Sus scrofa: one gene and its partners. The protein of the gene in region 4 interacts with the protein of the main gene of each other region in a biochemical or structural test. Links are inferred from orthologs where the notes say so. Each region holds a gene or a part of one and is shown on either strand. Other genes may lie near its edges.

Evidence for each region.
Region 1: the proteins of ARF6 (region 4) and RAB11FIP3 form a complex in vitro, tested with the Homo sapiens proteins (2 studies listed by BioGRID). The link is inferred for Sus scrofa from reciprocal best matches to the Homo sapiens genes ARF6 and RAB11FIP3.
Region 2: the proteins of ARF6 (region 4) and CYTH2 form a complex in vitro, tested with the Homo sapiens proteins (3 studies listed by BioGRID and IntAct, with this or other methods). The link is inferred for Sus scrofa from reciprocal best matches to the Homo sapiens genes ARF6 and CYTH2.
Region 3: the proteins of ARF6 (region 4) and CYTH1 form a complex in vitro, tested with the Homo sapiens proteins (2 studies listed by BioGRID and IntAct, with this or other methods). The link is inferred for Sus scrofa from reciprocal best matches to the Homo sapiens genes ARF6 and CYTH1.

What each region holds. Positions count from the first base shown.
Region 1 is NC_010445.4:41,281,846-41,286,461, forward strand, and holds the start of RAB11FIP3 (rab11 family-interacting protein 3), read right to left. Parts: upstream 3,154-4,616; 5' UTR 3,139-3,153; coding exon 2,053-3,138; intron 1-2,052. UniProt on the Homo sapiens protein: Downstream effector molecule for Rab11 GTPase which is involved in endocytic trafficking, cytokinesis and intracellular ciliogenesis by participating in membrane delivery. Recruited by Rab11 to endosomes where it links Rab11 to dynein motor complex.
Region 2 is NC_010448.4:53,868,553-53,873,045, forward strand, and holds the start of CYTH2 (cytohesin-2), read left to right. Parts: upstream 1-1,340; 5' UTR 1,341-1,395; coding exon 1,396-1,480; intron 1,481-1,786; coding exon 1,787-1,934; intron 1,935-2,032; coding exon 2,033-2,099; intron 2,100-3,621; coding exon 3,622-3,740; intron 3,741-4,493. UniProt on the Homo sapiens protein: Acts as a guanine-nucleotide exchange factor (GEF). Promotes guanine-nucleotide exchange on ARF1, ARF3 and ARF6. Activates ARF factors through replacement of GDP with GTP.
Region 3 is NC_010454.4:3,391,691-3,396,287, forward strand, and holds the start of CYTH1 (cytohesin-1), read left to right. Parts: upstream 1-1,444; 5' UTR 1,445-1,566; coding exon 1,567-1,594; intron 1,595-4,597. UniProt on the Homo sapiens protein: Promotes guanine-nucleotide exchange on ARF1, ARF5 and ARF6. Promotes the activation of ARF factors through replacement of GDP with GTP.
Region 4 is NC_010443.5:179,712,254-179,715,164, reverse strand, and holds ARF6 (ADP-ribosylation factor 6), read right to left. Parts: upstream 1,129-2,911; coding exon 601-1,128; downstream 1-600. UniProt on the Homo sapiens protein: GTP-binding protein involved in protein trafficking that regulates endocytic recycling and cytoskeleton remodeling. GTP-bound form plays an important role in the transport of multiple palmitoylated proteins form the Golgi to the plasma membrane.

The DNA of each region.
Region 1 (4,616 bases), on a different chromosome or scaffold from region 4:
ATGATCCAGTGAAAATAGAAACAAACAGGTAGAGCCTCCATCAGAGGCAGAGCACGGCAGGGAAGAACAGATGTGTCTCTCCCTTAACATCCTTGACTGGTGGAACGAGGAAGGGTGTGTTTGGGGCGAAGACACGGGGCACTACCACCACCCCAGTAGAAAACAACCGAGGACCCCCAAGCGCCCCCGGCCCAGGGGCAAGGAGGAAAGGCATCAAAACACTGGACCAGGGAGTTCCCAGGGTCGTGGCGCAGCGGAATGCATCCGACTAGGAACCACGAGGTTGCCGGTTCGATCCCTGGCCTCACTCAGCGGGTGAAGGATCCGGCATTGCCGTGAGCCGTGGTGTAGGTCGCAGACGCGGCTCGGAGCCCGTGTTGCTGTGGCTGTGGTGGAGGCCAGTGGCTACAGCTCCGATTCGACCCCTAGCCTGGGAACCTCCAGGCAGGTGCAGCCCTAAAAGGACAAAAAAACAAAAAACAAACAAAAGCACCTGGAGCAGCCATCTCGGTCCAAGCTAAGCACACAGGATATTATCAGTTGTGTATCTCTCCGTCCGTCAGACTAAGAGATGGGAAACCCAATCTCAAGCAAGATCTTCCAACCCAGAGCTAAAGCAGGGCGTCCCACAGACCCAACGCCGACATGCAGGCCCACTGCCACATGCACATCTTCCCAGGCCGGGACCTCAACAAGGAACCTGAGCTCAGGCAAGCCGGTTCTGCACCCAACAGCTCAATGGACACTGTCAACACTCACGGGCACCCGGATCCCTTGTACAGGCTCTTAACGTGATGACGGATGCTCTGAAAAGCAGGGTGTCAATGATGCCTCTTAAAGACCTCTGGGCTTAAACATGTATCCACGCTTGAACAGCCACTTTACGAATGTCCGCAAGTGTGAGAAGTCAGCAACACACAAAAACTAGCAGATCAGCATTTTAGGAATTTCCTATTCCTAAGTCAAAAATTTACAAGTAGGAGTTCCTGTCGTGGCTCAGTGGAAACAAATCTGACTAGCATCCATGAGGACACAGGTTCGATCCCTGGCCTTGCTCAGTGGGTTAAGGATCCGGCGTTGCTGCGAGCCGCGGTGTAGGTTGCACATGTGGCTCGGATCTGATGTGGCTGTGGCTGGCAGCTGCAGCTCTGATGTGACCCCTAACCTGGGAACCTCCATATGCTGCCGGTGTGGCCCTAAAAAAAATAATAATAATAAAGGCAAAAATAAAAAAAATTACAAGTGAACGTCGGTAATCAATTTGCATGTATTTGGGTTAATACCAGAACACACACAGCCCTGCTGCTGTCTCCACCTAAACTTTCCTAAGCGCTGGGAGGGAGGGACTGGAGGGTGAGGGCCACCTCCTCCTAGCGCAGCCACAGCCCCGGGGGGCTGGGCAGGACCCCCTGCCCCACTGCACTGTGCCTTCCCAACACCTGCCCCACAGGCGAGGAGGTGGCCCTGAGGCAGTTCTGCTCAGGCTTCCTCAAGTCTGCATGCACCATGGTGCTCCGAGGCTCATTCCCCTCCCTCTGGGCTTCCTCTCTTTCCCTTCTGCACAGAAGGAACAGCAGTGAAATTTTTTGGCATTCGGCGTCTCCCAAACAACGAGTCTATGGAGAACATATGCCAACCACACACAGTAAAGTAACTGCGCTCAAAATAGACGTCTGGAACATGATCCCTAAGCGTCCAGGTGCCCCGTGGCAGACCCAAGGAGCGAATTACTTCAGCCCGACCAGACCTGGGCCCTCCGCTGGGGGAACGGCGGGCACGTCTGCGGAGGGCACTTCCATCGGGCAGCCTGGGGGCATGTCCCCAGGCCAGGCGCTCCCCTCGACTTAGGAAAATATCCAGCTTGTGTGGCCTGAGACGTCAGGGAAGACACTAAATCCCGGAATTAGAACCTCTCTCAAGGGGAAAGAGGCGCTTCGGCGAAATTCGACCAGAGGTGAGGGCAGAAGTCAAGCACGAGAGGACGCGGACCCCGGCCTTAAGTGCCCTCCGCGACCCCCGCGCACGGAGCCCGGCTCCCACGCTGCGAGTTACCTGCTCTGCCCCGTAGACGGTGGCGAACTGGACGAAGTCCGCGATGCGGACGAAGCCGTCTCCATCCCCGTCCAGGGCTTCGAACACGGCTCGGAGCCGGGGGGCGTCCTCCGGACACCCCGCGGGCTCGCTCGTTAAGGGGCGGGTCTGGCTGAAGTCCGAGGGCCGGTCCGGGTCCCCGGGACCCAGCTCCAGCGCCGGCTCGCCGACCTCGGGCGAGGGGAAGGGGGGGAAGAAGTCGACCTCGCCCCGCAGGTGGTGGCTGCGGCTGAAATCCTGCGCGCGGGCTGTCGCGCTGTGCGGGCAGCTTGGGGGGCCGTCACCCTCCGGCTCAGCGGTCCAGGAATAAAGCGGGCCTAGTTCCGACAGCGGCGGGTCGGGGTCGGGGTCGGGGTCGGGATCGGAGTCGGGGTCCGGGTCTGGGGCCCGGCCAAGGCGCTGAGGCCTCCGCTCCGGCCCCGGGCCCCGTCCGGCCTCCGGGCCGGCTTCGGGGTCTTGCGGGCCGAGCCCCAGGTGGAGGGCGGGAGCGGAGGGCGCGCCGGGCCCGCCGGGGTCTGGGTCGGGGCCCGGGCCGCCCGAGGGGGAGGCCGGCCGGCCCGGCTCCATCTTCATGGGCGCGCCCCCGGCCGCGGCGCAGGCCCGCGAGGCCAGTGGAACGGCGGGCGGCGCGGGCGGCAGACAAAGGCGCTCAGGGCGCGGCGGCGGGCGCGGGCATCCCCGCGGCGACGCGGGCGGGCGCGCGCGGGGCGCCCGGGCTGCTCGGGCTGGCGCTCGGGCCCTGCTCCGCCCTCGCCCATCTTCGCGCCGCGCCTCAGCTGTCCTCGGCCCTGCGGCGCGGCGGGCGCGGGCCCATGGCGGCGGCGGCGGCGGCGGCGGGTGGCACAAGGAAGCCGAGGGTGAGGACGAGGAGGGGAGGCTAAGGAGCGGGTCGCCGAGGAGGGGGATCTGGAGAATCAGGACCCTAAACAGGAGGACGGCGCGCAGGAGGACGCTGAGGGGAACACGGTTGAGGAGGACGAGGAGGTGTCCGCGGTACCCGAGCTCACGCCGCCGCCCTCGCCCCGCCCTCTGTCGGCCTGACGTCATCACGTCGCGCCGCCATCTGGCTCCGCCCCTCGCCGGGCTGCTATAAAGGCAGGCAGCCGCGCTGCGAAGCTGTGGGGCTGTATGTGGGTCTCCCTTCCTCTGCGGCACCGGGAGGCTGGGTGTAAAGGGGGCGAATGCGCTGGAAGGCAGCAACCCCGGGCGTGACGTCATGCACCCCCACACGCAACGCGGATGACTGCGTCTTGCCTGCATAAAGAGCTCCCTCAAATTGATAAGCAACGGATGCGATCCAACCGGGCGAGCGAAGTGCGCGTGACATCCTCCTCCCGCAACCGTGGCTCGCAGTCCCGGCCTGAGTGTGGAAGGGCCCTGAACATGCGGTCCCTCACTTGTGACCCAAGGAACGGGTGGCCCAACGCAGAGGCCTTTTTTAAAAATCTCGGACAGGAGTTCCCGTCGTGGCGCAGTGGTTAACGCATCCGACTAGAAACCATGAGGTTGCGGGTTCGGTCCCTGCCCTCGATCAGCGGGTTAAGGATCCGGTGTCAAGGTTGCAGACGCGGCTCGGATCCCGCGTTGCTGTGGCTGTGGCGTAGGCCGGCGGCTACAGCTCCGATTCGACCCCTAGTCTGGGAACCTCCATATGCTGCAGCTCCAATTAGACCCCTAGTCTGGGAACCTCCATATGCCACGGGTGCAACTGTAAAAAGAGAAAAAAAATTCACAGAATTGTATCACCAGAGAATGAATTTCACTGCGTGTAAATTATACCTTAGTAAAAAAATAATTTTTTAAAAAAATTATCCCTGTGTTTTCTTTTTCTTGTTTTCCTTATGTCCTCTGCCTTCCTCATGTCTTTAGAAAACACTAGCCCCCTAGGCCTTCCCCGAGTTCCAAAGAGTAAATTTAATTAGAAAAGTGAAAAAAAAATGTAGAAAGAAAGGAAAAGAGTCAAGCAGCAGACAGACAGAACAGTCAAGGAGCCTTAGTTAGCTCCTCCTCAAGGGGGCTATAGATCACTTTTTTTTTTTAGGGCCACACCTACAAACCCACGTCCTCATGGACAGTAGTCGGGTTCAATACCCCTAAGCCACAAGGGGAACTCCGATAGATCATCTTCCGAGCTGTTTTTTTGGGTTTTTTTTTTTTTTTGTCCTTTTGCCTTTTCTACAGCCTTACCCTGAATCATATGGAGGTTCTCGGGCTAGGGGTCTAATTGGAGCTGCAGGCCAAGCCTACACCAGAACCACAGCAACTCAGGATGCAACCCACACCACAGCTCACAGCAACGCCGGATCCTTAACCCACTGAGCAAGGCCAGGGATCGAACCCGAAACCTCGTGGATTCTTCGTCGGATTCGTTAACCACTGAGCCATGACAGGAACTCCCTTCAGACCTGTTTTGCAGAGGCTGAAACCCCACCAGGTGAAGAAGTTAAGTATATGGAGCCCACCAGCTCCTAGTCCCCAGACCAGCTGGAACGGAAGCCTGAGGATGCTGACTTGATTTCATCACC
Region 2 (4,493 bases), on a different chromosome or scaffold from region 4:
ATAAGGGGAGGAATTCGGGGGAGAGAGGGAGGAAATTGAGAGGCAGCCGGCTCTGGGAAGGCAGAGCCTACGTTTTCACTGTATCTGGCCTTCTCCTATTGTCCCATTCTCCAAGACAGGGACCAAAAAGCTAGCATTTGGAAGAAAGAATGTCTTTTGTTTCACCACTCTTTGACTATGAAGAGGCTGAGGTTGATGGGGAGGCCATGGGAAGGGGTAAGAGATCGGAGGGGCCAGTGCCCAGAGGAAGGAGGCCCAAAGAAAGGTGAGCCAAAGCCGCTCTCGGTTGCATGGCAACCACTGCGGTCAAAAGCCAGCTATGCCTGCTAGGAGATGTGACTCACAGAAACAACCAATGGTTGTGCCCCGCCCCCTGGCAACAAGCCTAATAAGGTACCGCCCCCTAGCAACGTATTGGTGGAGGCGGGGCTCAGTTGAATGGTATCCTAAATGCCCGCAGCCCTTGCGCAGGCGTATTCCTCTCTCTCTTCTCACGCAACTCCTTTCCGAGGCTTCTCATTGGCTTGCAAGCCAGCCAAGTGCTTTCTTTAGTTTCGGAGGCGGGACCCGGTCCCCTGCCAGCATTCCGATTGGCCTCGCAGACCATCTACCTCCTGCCGGACACGGCTATATCTACTCCTTGTGCGTCTATTGGCCGTGGAGGGCGATCCTTTGATATCGGAGGCGGGGCAGGCGAGAAGTCCCGCCGTAGATTGGGCGGTGTCAAAACGAGGGGCGGTCCCTACTGGCGGGGCGGTTGGGAGACGAAGGGAGAGTCTTTTCAGCGCTGAGGACTGGCGCTGAGGAGGCGGCGGTGGCTCCCGGGGCGTTTGAGCGGGCTCACCCGAGCCCGCGGGCCAACGCGGATCCAGGCCCGACCGGCGGGACCGCCCCGGACTCCCCGCGGGCCTTCCTAGCCGCCATGGAGGACGGTGTCTACGGTGAGTCGGGGAGGGGCGGGGCCGGCTGCAAGTGGATGGAGAGTTTCGCCCCGAAGGTTCCGCCGCGAACGTTCTCCCCGTAGCGCGCCTTGCTGAGCCTTTCGGCCCCGTCGTCGCCTTGCTTTTGTGGGGCCTGGGACGCGCTTCCGGCGGGGCTGGAGACTGGGGCGTTCCAGGCCATTGTTTGGGCCGAGCCTGTTTCCGGTGGCGGCGGGAGGGGGTGGGATGGAGCGGTGGAGGCGAGGCCCGGGGCGGAACCATTCCCTCTGGAGGGGCCGGGCGAGCCCAGTGCCTGCTGGGAGCGGGAAGGGGGGCTTCTGGGGGCGGTGGGGTGGGGAGAAATCTTGGGGCCTACCGAGAGCCCGCTAAGGCGGGGGCGGGGGCTTCCGATGCCCCGCCCCCTTCCTTAACTCTTGCCAGCTGTCATCAGCTTCCCCTGCCATAGTTACTTTCCATGGACCCAGGAGTCCGGACACCCAGACCCTCAGCTCCCTCGCCGAGAATGGAGGCAGAAAACCAAGGCCTCAGCCCCCTGTCAAGTAATGGACCGTAGCTCAAGCTTCCAGCCCTTTTTTGCTCCCCGCAGACCTGAGTTGAGGCTCCCAGTCCCCTTCCTCCACCCCCGGACTAAAGAGTTTGGATTCCCAGCCCTTCCATCTCTGGATTGAGGAATCTAGGCCCCCAACCCCTTCTTCCAGCAGACGGAGGAGGCTGGACCCTCATCCTCCCCGAACCTAGACGTCCTGCCCATCCCCCACCCCCACCCCTGTCCTCCCGCAGATGGCAGACATCCGGGTTTGGGGTCCCCAGAACTGACCCCCCCCACCCCCGACCCTCTTCCCCAGAGCCCCCGGACCTGACTCCCGAGGAGCGGATGGAGCTGGAGAACATCCGGCGGCGGAAGCAGGAGCTGCTGGTGGAGATCCAGCGCCTGCGGGAGGAGCTCAGCGAAGCCATGAGCGAAGTCGAGGGGCTGGAGGCCAATGAGGGCAGGTGAGGGCTGGGGCCGGGATCCTGGGGGTCAGGGGGCTTGGCTTGGGCCGGAGATGCACAGGCATTGACCCTCCATCCTGCACTCTCTGCCCCTGCAGCAAGACCTTGCAGCGGAACCGGAAGATGGCAATGGGCAGGAAGAAGTTCAACATGGACCCCAAAAAGGTGCTTGGGACCACAGGGCTGGGATCAGCCAGGAAGACAGACAGGGATTCTGGCATCTCCAGGTAGCAGAGGTGTGGTGGTGGACAGACTCGGGCCTGATCCCTGGATTCAGATATTGGCTGTCCCTCTGTCCCCTGACCTTTGCTTGTGCCTGATCCTCTGCGTGGGAGGTCCTCTTCCCCTTTTTGCTCATATTTCTGGACCCACTTCTTTTTTTTTTTTTTTTTGTTGTTGTTGTTATTGTTGCTATCTCTTGGTTCTTGGGCCGCTCCCGCGGCATATGGAGGTTCCCAGGCTAGGGGTTGAATCGGAGCTGTAGCCACCGGCCTACGCCAGAGCCACAGCAACGCGGGATCCGAGCCGCGTCTGCAACCTACACCACAGCTCACAGCAACGCCGGATCCTTAACCCACTGAGCAAGGGCAGGGACCGAACCCTCAACCTCATGGTTCCTAGTTGGATTCGTTAACCACTGCGCCACGACGGGAACTCCCTGGACCCACTTCTGATGTAATCTGGAGTCCCCAGGAGGAACTCAGTTGAGTCTGGTAGGGAACGTGGACAGGGACATGAGCAAAGGAGGGTTGACAGGTGCCATAACAGAGAGAGAGGTACCAGGGCCATGGATGTTCAGAGCAGGAAGCCTGGTGGCATCAAAGAGGGCTTCCCTGAGGAGGGGGTATTCAGGTCAGGTTTGAAGGATGAATTAGTGTTCCCCGAATGGAAGAAAAATGTTTGTTCATTCATTCTTTCATTTTACGCCCATTTTCTGAGGCCTGCCTGGGGCCCGTCCCTCTGCTAGGCAAGGCCGGGGACCCAGAGAAGACTTTGACCCTGTCTTGCCCTCCAGGAGCCCCTAGACCTGGATACACAATCCAGAGTGAGGTGTAGCCACAGTGGGGATCCTCGTGGCATCAGGAGAGCCAGAAAAAGCCCTAGTCTGGCCTGAGGCCTGGCCCTCACAGCACTTGACTACTAATGGTTTTCCACTTTATTCCTTTTTTCTTTTTTTTTTTTTTTTCCTTTCCATTTTTGGCTGCCCTGGGACATGTGGCCAGGGATCAGATCCAGGCCGCTCTTGTAACCAGTGCTGCAGCTGCAGCAGTGCCGGATCGTTTAACCCACAGTGCCAGGCTGGGGAATCAAACCTGTGTCCTGGTGCTGCAGAAATGCTGCTAATCCTGTTGTGCCACAGCAGGAACTCCCACTTTATTCTGCTTGCCTGAAGTAGTTGTAGTTTGTTCAGTCAACCAGCAAACATTTTTGGAGCTCCTGTTTCTTGCCAGACCCTGCTGGGCTGGGGGGAGTTGGGGAGGGCGGGGCTGGCATTAACCAGGCAAAGGCTATGACGTGGGAGGGATGATGCTAAGTACGGACCTGGGCAAAGCTTGGAAATGAAACTCGGCCCTGCTCTGTTGGGCATGGGGGGTGGGTTCGGAGGCTGAGGGTTCTGAGACTTTGGTGGGAAGTGGCCTGCCCAGCACGCCGGCCCTGAGACCCAGCCCCCACCCCCGCCCACCAGGGGATCCAGTTCCTGGTGGAGGATGAACTTCTACAGAACACCCCCGAGGAGATCGCCCGCTTCCTGTACAAGGGCGAAGGCCTGAACAAGACGGCCATCGGGGACTACCTGGGGGAGAGGTGAGCCCCCACCCCACCCCTACCGCTCGCACCCAGCTCCTGCCCTCGGACTGCCAGCGCCTCCCGAGGAGAGGCCCAGCCGGCTGGACTGGCAAAAGGAACTGACACGGGTCTGGGGGAGCCAGAGACCTTCTGGGGAGCCTGGGGACCATCTGCGAGCATCTAGGGGGCTTGGGGACCTTTGTGGACATCTGGGCCGCGTGGGGGACCATCCATTTATGTCGGGAGACAGTTGAGAACACCTGCAAGTGTTGCGGGAGCGTGCGAAGCACGTGTAGACCGCAGGCGTGCACGGGAACCATGTGGACAGCTGGGAAGCGTGGGGGCTGCCGGTGGATATCTGGGGAACATGGGGGCCCCGTGGACGTCCGTGAGCGTGAGGGCCATGTGGCCCTCCAGGGTGTGTGTGGGGCACCTAGAAGTGTAGAGTATGTGAGACGTCGGCAGGAGTGGATGGCTGTCTGGGGTTCCCAGGGGTTTACGGATACCTGGGCACGTGGGGACCATCATGGATGTTGGGATACGGCACCTGTCTGGACACCCAGGGTGTCTGGGGACCTTCTGTGAGGCTCTGGGGGGTGGAGACCGCCTGAACAGCTGCGGTGCCCAGGACCATCCGTCGGTGTCTGGGATCACAGGGATTGTGCAGACCTCTAGGGGGTGTGGAACCTTCTGGATATCTGCGGTGAAGAGACTGGGGACCTCGGGGGTGCCTGGGGACGGTCTGGACACCTAGGGGATGCGGGGGTCATC
Region 3 (4,597 bases), on a different chromosome or scaffold from region 4:
GCCTGGCCCGCCTCACCCTGCTCAGGACACTGAGGTTGCGGCTGGGCAGAGCCCCCTCGCAGGAGCCTGAGTGATAACCAGTGCTGGCGCTCCATGTGGCTCCGCTCGCACTGACGGCTCTGGGGCCAGGGGTGTCAGTAAAATGTATCTCACATGTTATATAATATATTTGGTTATTATCCTATTAAATGTGACAGATACATGAGTGATATAGACCTATAAAGAGAGATACAGAGAGAGTTAAGTTTTTTTTTTTTTTTTAAGGGCCGCACCCGTGGCATATGGAGGTTCCCAGGTTAGGGGTCGAATTGGAGCTGTAGCTGCCAGCCTAAACCACAGCCATAGCAATTCGGGATCCAAGCCGCATTTGCAACCTACATGACAGCTCACAGCAACACCACATCCCTAACCCACTGATTGAGGCCAGGGATCGAAGCTGCATCCTCATGGACACTCGTCAGGTTCATTTCTGCTGAGCCACGATGGGAACTCTGCGAGTTAAATATTATACATGAAAGAGAGAGAATGAGAATGTAGTACATAAAAATATGGAAGAATATGAAGAATATACACCGACATGTCATCAGCGATTACCCCAGGGTGACAGGATTAAACCTCTCCCCTCACTGCCATAACCTAACTTCCACAAGGAGCCTGTGTCATGATTATAACAAGAGCATGCCCTAAAGAGCAGCTGGGAGTTCCCGTTGTGACTCAGCGGTAACGAACCTGACTAGGATCCATGAGGACGCAGGTTCGATCCCTGGCCTCGCTCAGTGGGTTAAGTATCAGGTGTTACTATGAGCTGTGGTGTAGGTCACAGATGCGGCTCAGATCCGGTGTTGCTGTGGCTGTGGTGTAGGCCAGCGGCTACAGCTCCAGTTAGACCCCTAACCTGGGAACCTCCATATGCCACGTGTGTGGCTATAAAAAGAAAAGAAAAAAAGGGGGGGGGGAGAATGGCTGGGTTTGAACCTAGACTGGGGATGCCATTGAACTTACCCTGGGAGTGATACCCGAAGATTTTTTGGGGGGGTGGCCACTAAAGCCTGCCTCCTGCTTTTCTCCTGTGACCTCATGAGGTCTTGGAATGATTAGGATCTCTTAGTCACACTCTGGGGAAATGCGCTGTAATCTCATCGTGAGATGACCGGGGTTTTAAGTGATTCACTCCAAGAAAGTCCTTGGGGGGTGAGAAGAACGCCTTCTCCGCTCTGTCTGTCACTTCGGCTGAAGCTGAGCAAAGCCCAGAAGAGCCTCTGCTGCTCCCTGGACTCCAGCGTCAGACGCTTGCCAGGGCGGAGCTGGTTAACCTCGAGGAAGTTACTTGAGCTTGACTTCAGGAACTGGGTGGTGGCAGTGAGCTGGGAGGGACGCCGCCGTGGCTGGAGGCCGATTGGCCCAGGAGCGCGGCCGCAAGCTCCCCTAGTCCAGGAAGCAGCTCGGAGCCGCGGGTGGGCCCGCAGGTGGTCCTGCCCCACCCAGCCCTGCCTCCCAGGGCACCTGGGCCGAGCTCTCCTTTGAAGAACGAGCCCCGCCACCTTCGGGGCGGCCGCGGGGGGAGAGATGGTCCGTCAAACCGAGGAGGGGGCTGGTGAGTCCCGGTGTTGCCTGGGCGAGTGGGGCGGGGGTTGGCGTCTCTTGATCAGCGTGGAAGGTCTGCGAGTCGCCGCCTCTTGGGGGGGAGTGCCGACTGAGAGAGGTGGGGGGGGAGGGGGAGGGGAGAGCCCGTTGTGACACGGAAGCTCCCCCCCCACTCTTCTTGCCTACGCGCCGCCCTGCGTGTGGCTCGGTGGCCTGTGCCCTCCTTCTCGGCGACCGTGTCTGTACTTCCGGAGTCTGGGTGCCTGTCCTAGGAGCTCTGGAGTTGCAGGTACCCCCAGAGCGCGTGTGACCCCGCGGAAGGAGGGGCGTGGGAGACCGGGCGGAAAGCACCGGTGGGGCTTCCTCTGGGGTGTCCCCTCCCCGCCCGCCCGCGCTGTCACCAGCTGGACGCTGAGTAAAGGGATGACACGGTTCGTGGATGGTAAGTCCCGAAAGTTTTTGCAGAAGAACTGGCTTCGAGGAGCCTGGGTCAGGGCTCTCGCGTGTCCTGACGTCAGGGGCTGGCTGGGTGTGGCGCTTTCGTGGGTGCCTTCCCTGGGTGACAAGGACGTGAGGCTGCCCTTTAAACGTAAGACAGCTTGCAGCCAGTAACGAGTGACAGGAATAGGTCTGAAACGCACGTTAGGATGTTTTGCAAAGCGGCTCATGGCTTTGAAAGTGTTGGGGCTCCTTTTTATGCCTTTCCTCGTCGGGCGCACCATGCGGCACGTCTCCAGGTGCCGTCTCTGCTGGGCGGGGCGTGGACCACATCCGTGGGGTCCCGTGGGGGCGGCCCCGGGAGAGAGGGCAGTGGGTGTTGGTTCATAACGCTGTGCCGGCAAAGAGGGGGCGGTTGCGAGAGGCGATTCCGGGTCAGGGCTGAGCCGCCCCCGTGGGAGTTGTCTCGGAGGGGAGTCCGCAGTAGCCCAGGTCTCTGGTGCACAAGGGGCCCTCGTGCCCGTGGAGGAGGACGCTCGCCGATGGCGCCTGGCCTGGGCAGTGGGCAGACGCGACCACCACTCCCTGAGCCGGTCCTTCCCTCTGACCGCTGCTCCTGCCCTGGCCTGGCCTCAGACCTGCCCGGTGGCGCTGTTCACCAGCCACTGCAAACTCGAAAGTAAGGGGGCCCGTGTTGTCGGCCTCTCCCATGTCGGAGGCTTTAGCTGAAACGCAGCTGCTCAGGGTGCGCCCTTGACGCAGGGGTGACGTGGGGCCGGGTGGTTTAGAGGCGGTTAGCAGGCAGCGTTGCTTTGACAGGTGGCTCTCTGTCTCCCTCAGTCCCCCTGGGAGAGCTTGGTCGTGTGGTCTCTTTGGGACGAGAGGGAGGCAGTGTCGCGAGGCATCGAGGGGAGATGTGGAGGTGGCATCAGGCAGATGTGAGCGTGAAGCGAGCTCGTGGCCTTTCTGGGCGGGTCCATGGTCTCCCCCGGGAGAGCGAGGTGCCAGCGTGTTGCTGCTCTCGCCGCGGCGTGGACTAGCTTGTTACCCAGAGAGGCTCCAAGACGGGGGAATCAAGTTTGACAAATGGCTCGGAGTGCCCGCTGTGGCACAGCAGGATTGGTGGCATCTCGGAAGCGCTGGGAAGCAAGTTCCATCCCCGGCCTGGCGCAGTGGGTTAAGGATCCGGCCCTGCCACAGCTGCGGCTCAGGTCTGAGCCCTGGTCCCAGAACACCACATGCCACACGGTGGCCAGAAGCCCCCGTGGTTCTAAAGAAGCCCAACTCCGCCTGCCCCACAGTCCGCGGTCGCCGTCCTGCTGCAGACGAGGCGTCGCCTCTGGTTCTCCCGACCGCTGACTTCCACTCTAGCCGTGCAGCCGTGTGCCAGCGGAGAGCAACCATTTCACTGAACTGGGCACCATTTTCTTTCCTGCTTGGGCTGTTTAATGGGCTATTTATTCGTCCTTTTGTTTTGTTTTGGCCTGGGGCATGTAGAAATTCCTGGGCCAGGGATCGAACCTGCACCCTAGGACCATATCACAGCGGTGACCGTGCCAGGTCCTTAACGGCTGGGCCAGCGGGCACCTCCTAATCTGCTCGTTTTAGTGTTTGTTCCCCTTTGATTAACCTTTGACCCCTCTCTTTGGGAAGGACTCTGAGCTCCTTGGTGTGTGGGACACACAGCCCTCACCCGTGCACAGAAAGGCTTTCTGCCGGGTGTCCTGGGCCCCACCTGACGTGTGTTCGCCGTCCCTGGCACCTGGCCTCTCCCTGGCCTTTCCCTTGTGCAGGGCACGTCCGGGGCTACTTAATCCCAGCCCCGAGCACAGGCTGGGCGAGTGCAAGGGCGGGGTGCTGATTCTGCTGAGCCCTCAGCCAGTGAGCTTGAGTTGGGCTCAGTCTGGAGTTGTTTGGCCAGGAATAGTTTAATTAGAATTTCAGCTCTGGAGACTCTTCACACTCAAGGAGTCTTACCTCCCCTAGAAACTGGAGGTAACAGTGCATAGTTCATTGTCAGGAAGTGTGCAGAGTTCGTGGTTGGACTTTATTGTCAAGTTCAAATGAAAATGAAAAAAGATTTGTAAGCTGTGGACACGCTGTGACTCTAGGGCAGAGTTACGTGGGAAAAGGGGCTGGAGAGCGCAGAGTGGCTCTCCTTTGGGATAGTGGGTTTTCAGGTTGCATCTGAAGTAGTCTCTCCGGTGTTAACTCACCCCTCATCCCCTCCTGTTCTCTAAATGTGTTGCTTGTAGCCGGGCCAGCCTCACGTTGGGCAGGTTGCTTAGGCGGAGGCGCGTGTCAGGAGGAGAAGTTAAGGTGCTATGAGTGAGCACCCCCCAGATACTTCTCCCTCCCTCATGGGCTGAGGCTGTATTTTTCAAAATCAGAAGTGGTGACATCTTTATTTTTAAGCGGGAGCGCCTGGCGTTGCGCAGAGCACACATCTCAGCAGACCTGCAGAACCATCTGCCACGACCAGCTTTGAAGGGACTGGCTCTGGCTGAATCTTTTTTCTTTTTTTTTTTTTTTTTTTGGTCCTCTTAGGGCCTCACCTGTGGCATATGGACATTCC
Region 4 (2,911 bases):
CTAAGTTTACTATACTGGTCTTAGATATAAAAGGTCACATTTGAATTTACTAAGTTGGAATTCATAAGGGAGGGGGAAAAGGCCTTAAATATAAAAGACAAACGGCAGTTTGATTAAGCAATAATTTTCAGTTTACTAGATGAAACAGACTTGCAACATAGTCTGCATGAATGCAAAATAAGCCATCTACAGCAAGTGATAAGGAAACTGGGCAAAAAGGAAAAAAGCATACATTGGAAAAGAAGATTCTCTCGAAATAAAAAAATCAAACCATTATTATAAAGGAATTTATCAAGAACTGCTGTATTTCCCCCATCCCATTTGCTGGAAGTCAACGAGAGTATCTAAGTACTTTGTGTTCGTGTCAAAAGTCAGCTCAGAGCATCCTAACGCAAAGCCAAAAAAAAAAAAAGAAAGAAAGAAAAAGAAAAGAAACAAAAAAGAAACCCCCTAACCCCCTCCCCCAAACCGTAGAACTGTAACTCCAAAGTTCAAATTCAAAAGAAGAGAAAGTGGCAATTCAAAGAGGTGATGGTGGCGATAATCCTATGAATGGGTTTTTGATTTCTCTCCTTCTGGGGGATGGGTGGAGAATGCTCATTAGGATTTGTAGTTAGAGGTTAACCATGTGAGCCCCTCATAGAGTCCGTCCCCCGAGGTGGCACAGGAGGGCTGCACATACCAGTTCCTGTCCCGAATCCGGGTCAGGCCCAGTTTCTCCTGGATCTCGTGGGGTTTCATGGCATCAGGCAGGTCCTGCTTGTTGGCGAAGATGAGGATTATGGCGTCCCTCATCTCCCGGTCATTGATAATGCGGTGTAGCTCCTGGCGGGCCTCGTCTATGCGGTCGCGGTCGGCGCAGTCCACTACGAAGATCAGACCCTGGGTCCCGGTGTAGTAATGCCGCCAGAGCGGCCGGATCTTGTCCTGGCCGCCCACATCCCATACGTTGAACTTGACGTTTTTGTAAGTCACCGTCTCCACGTTGAAACCCACGGTGGGGATGGTGGTCACCGACTGGCCCAGCTTCAACTTGTACAGGATGGTTGTCTTGCCGGCCGCGTCCAGGCCCAACATGAGGATTCGCATTTCCTTGTTCCCGAAGATCTTAGATAGCACCTTCCCCATCGCTTCGGAGGAACCGGGGCCGGGGGCATTCAGGTGTCCCGGGTCCCCTCCAACAACGCCGCCGCCGCCGCGAAACCGAAACGGAGCTTCCCAGTCGCGAGGGGGCCCGTGCGGCCTGCGTGGGAGTTGCCTCCTCAGGGCAGAGGCCCGGGCCCGTAGCTCACTCGGGCATCACCGACCACACAACTTGATTCCTCCCGTCGCCGCGGCCTGAGTCTGCGTTGGGAGAGCCGCCGCCCTGCTGAGGCGCGGCCCGGCCCGGAACTGCCCTTCCCCCCGCAGGCGCCGTACAAGCGCCGCCGCCGGCTCCTGCTCGGCCGCCTTCACCTCACTCCGCCGCGGGAGACTGCGGCCCTTCGGCCCGGCCTCCGGTCCGCGGAGCACCGCGCTCACCACTGACCCAGGCCACACGAGAGCAGAGCGGCTCCGGCGCCCCGTCGGGTCATTGATCCTCGCGGGAACTCGGTGCGCTGCCTGCAGAAACACAGAGAGGAAAAAGGGAGTTACTGCGGGAGCCCCAGAAGAGAGCGGAGGCCGAAGGAGCCCGCCTTTCCAGCTCAGCCCAGGAGGTTACCTCCAGCCGCCGCCCAGAGCGCGGGCTCCCTCCGGCCTCCACCGCCTCCTCCCAGTTCTACCGCCGCCGCCGCCGGAAAAGGCGCCGAGGAAACCGCCTCACTTCCCCTCCCGACGACGCAGGCGCAGCAGAGGCCGACCGTTCGGGACAAGAGCGACCTCTGTAAGGAGAGCGGCCTGCGCGCCAAGCGTCAGGGGCGCCACGCGCGGAGGGGCGGGGCTACGGCGGCTCGGAGGCTCCCAGGTGGGGCCAGCCCTGCTCCCGCGCAGCCCGGGCTCTGACCCGCGCCCACCTGTAGCTATTCTAGCGTCTTCTCCCCTCTCTGCTTTTCTCTTCCGCGCGCTCTCCTCCTCCGCCCCCATTGGAACCTGAGAAGCAGATCCACTGGGTGGGGCCCGTTGGCCGCCCGCTCTCCAGATGAAAGCCTCCCCCTGCTTTGCTTCCAGGCCTCTTCTCCGTCCTCGGCGCCTGCCAGATGCTCTGCGAGTTCTCTCTTGCCCACCCCAGGCTTCGTGTGCCCTCCATCTCCCTGTGAATCCCTATCTGCTGTTTTAAACCTTTCACCCAACTCCCTTTGGCTTTCTTTTTCCTTCGTTTTGTGCATTTCCTGAGAGACACGTGGGAGGCCAGTGGTTCCCGTGGGATTTGCCGTTCAGTGCGGCGCGTTTACTGGGTTTGGGTTTCCTCTAAAGCCCGTCTTTTGAGTGTTTGAGCCGTCAGGAGCAATCCACGTTTCTTAAAAATTACAGTATTTTCAAGACTTCCCATGCTTTTCCTTTTTAAATATCTTTTACTGTGATTAGTAGTAGTTTCTCATTCTTAATTTTCAGCAGCCTCGTCTATATAATCTTAGCGTTGGATTTAGAATAGGAAAAACTACTTCTGACGCCTGGATTCGGACATTTGACCTTATCGAGTTGATCTCATGCGTAAACTGAGTGTAATTCTGACCCCACTGTCTAGAAGCCCACTTGAGGGCTTTTATTATTATACGTATAATGTTTGTAGAAAGGGAACCCTCTTTGTATCAAATGATTAGTGATAAAGTTCAAATATGAAGAAAGCTTGAAATAAACCAAAAGGAGGAAAAACAGGAAAATAGCGTGTTTGTTTTTTTTTTTTAAAGAATATGATGTGATAGCATAAAGTAACATACTTTTTGTTTCACAGTTTAAAAAAAATTTGATAATGGTAGATTGGTTAAGTGAT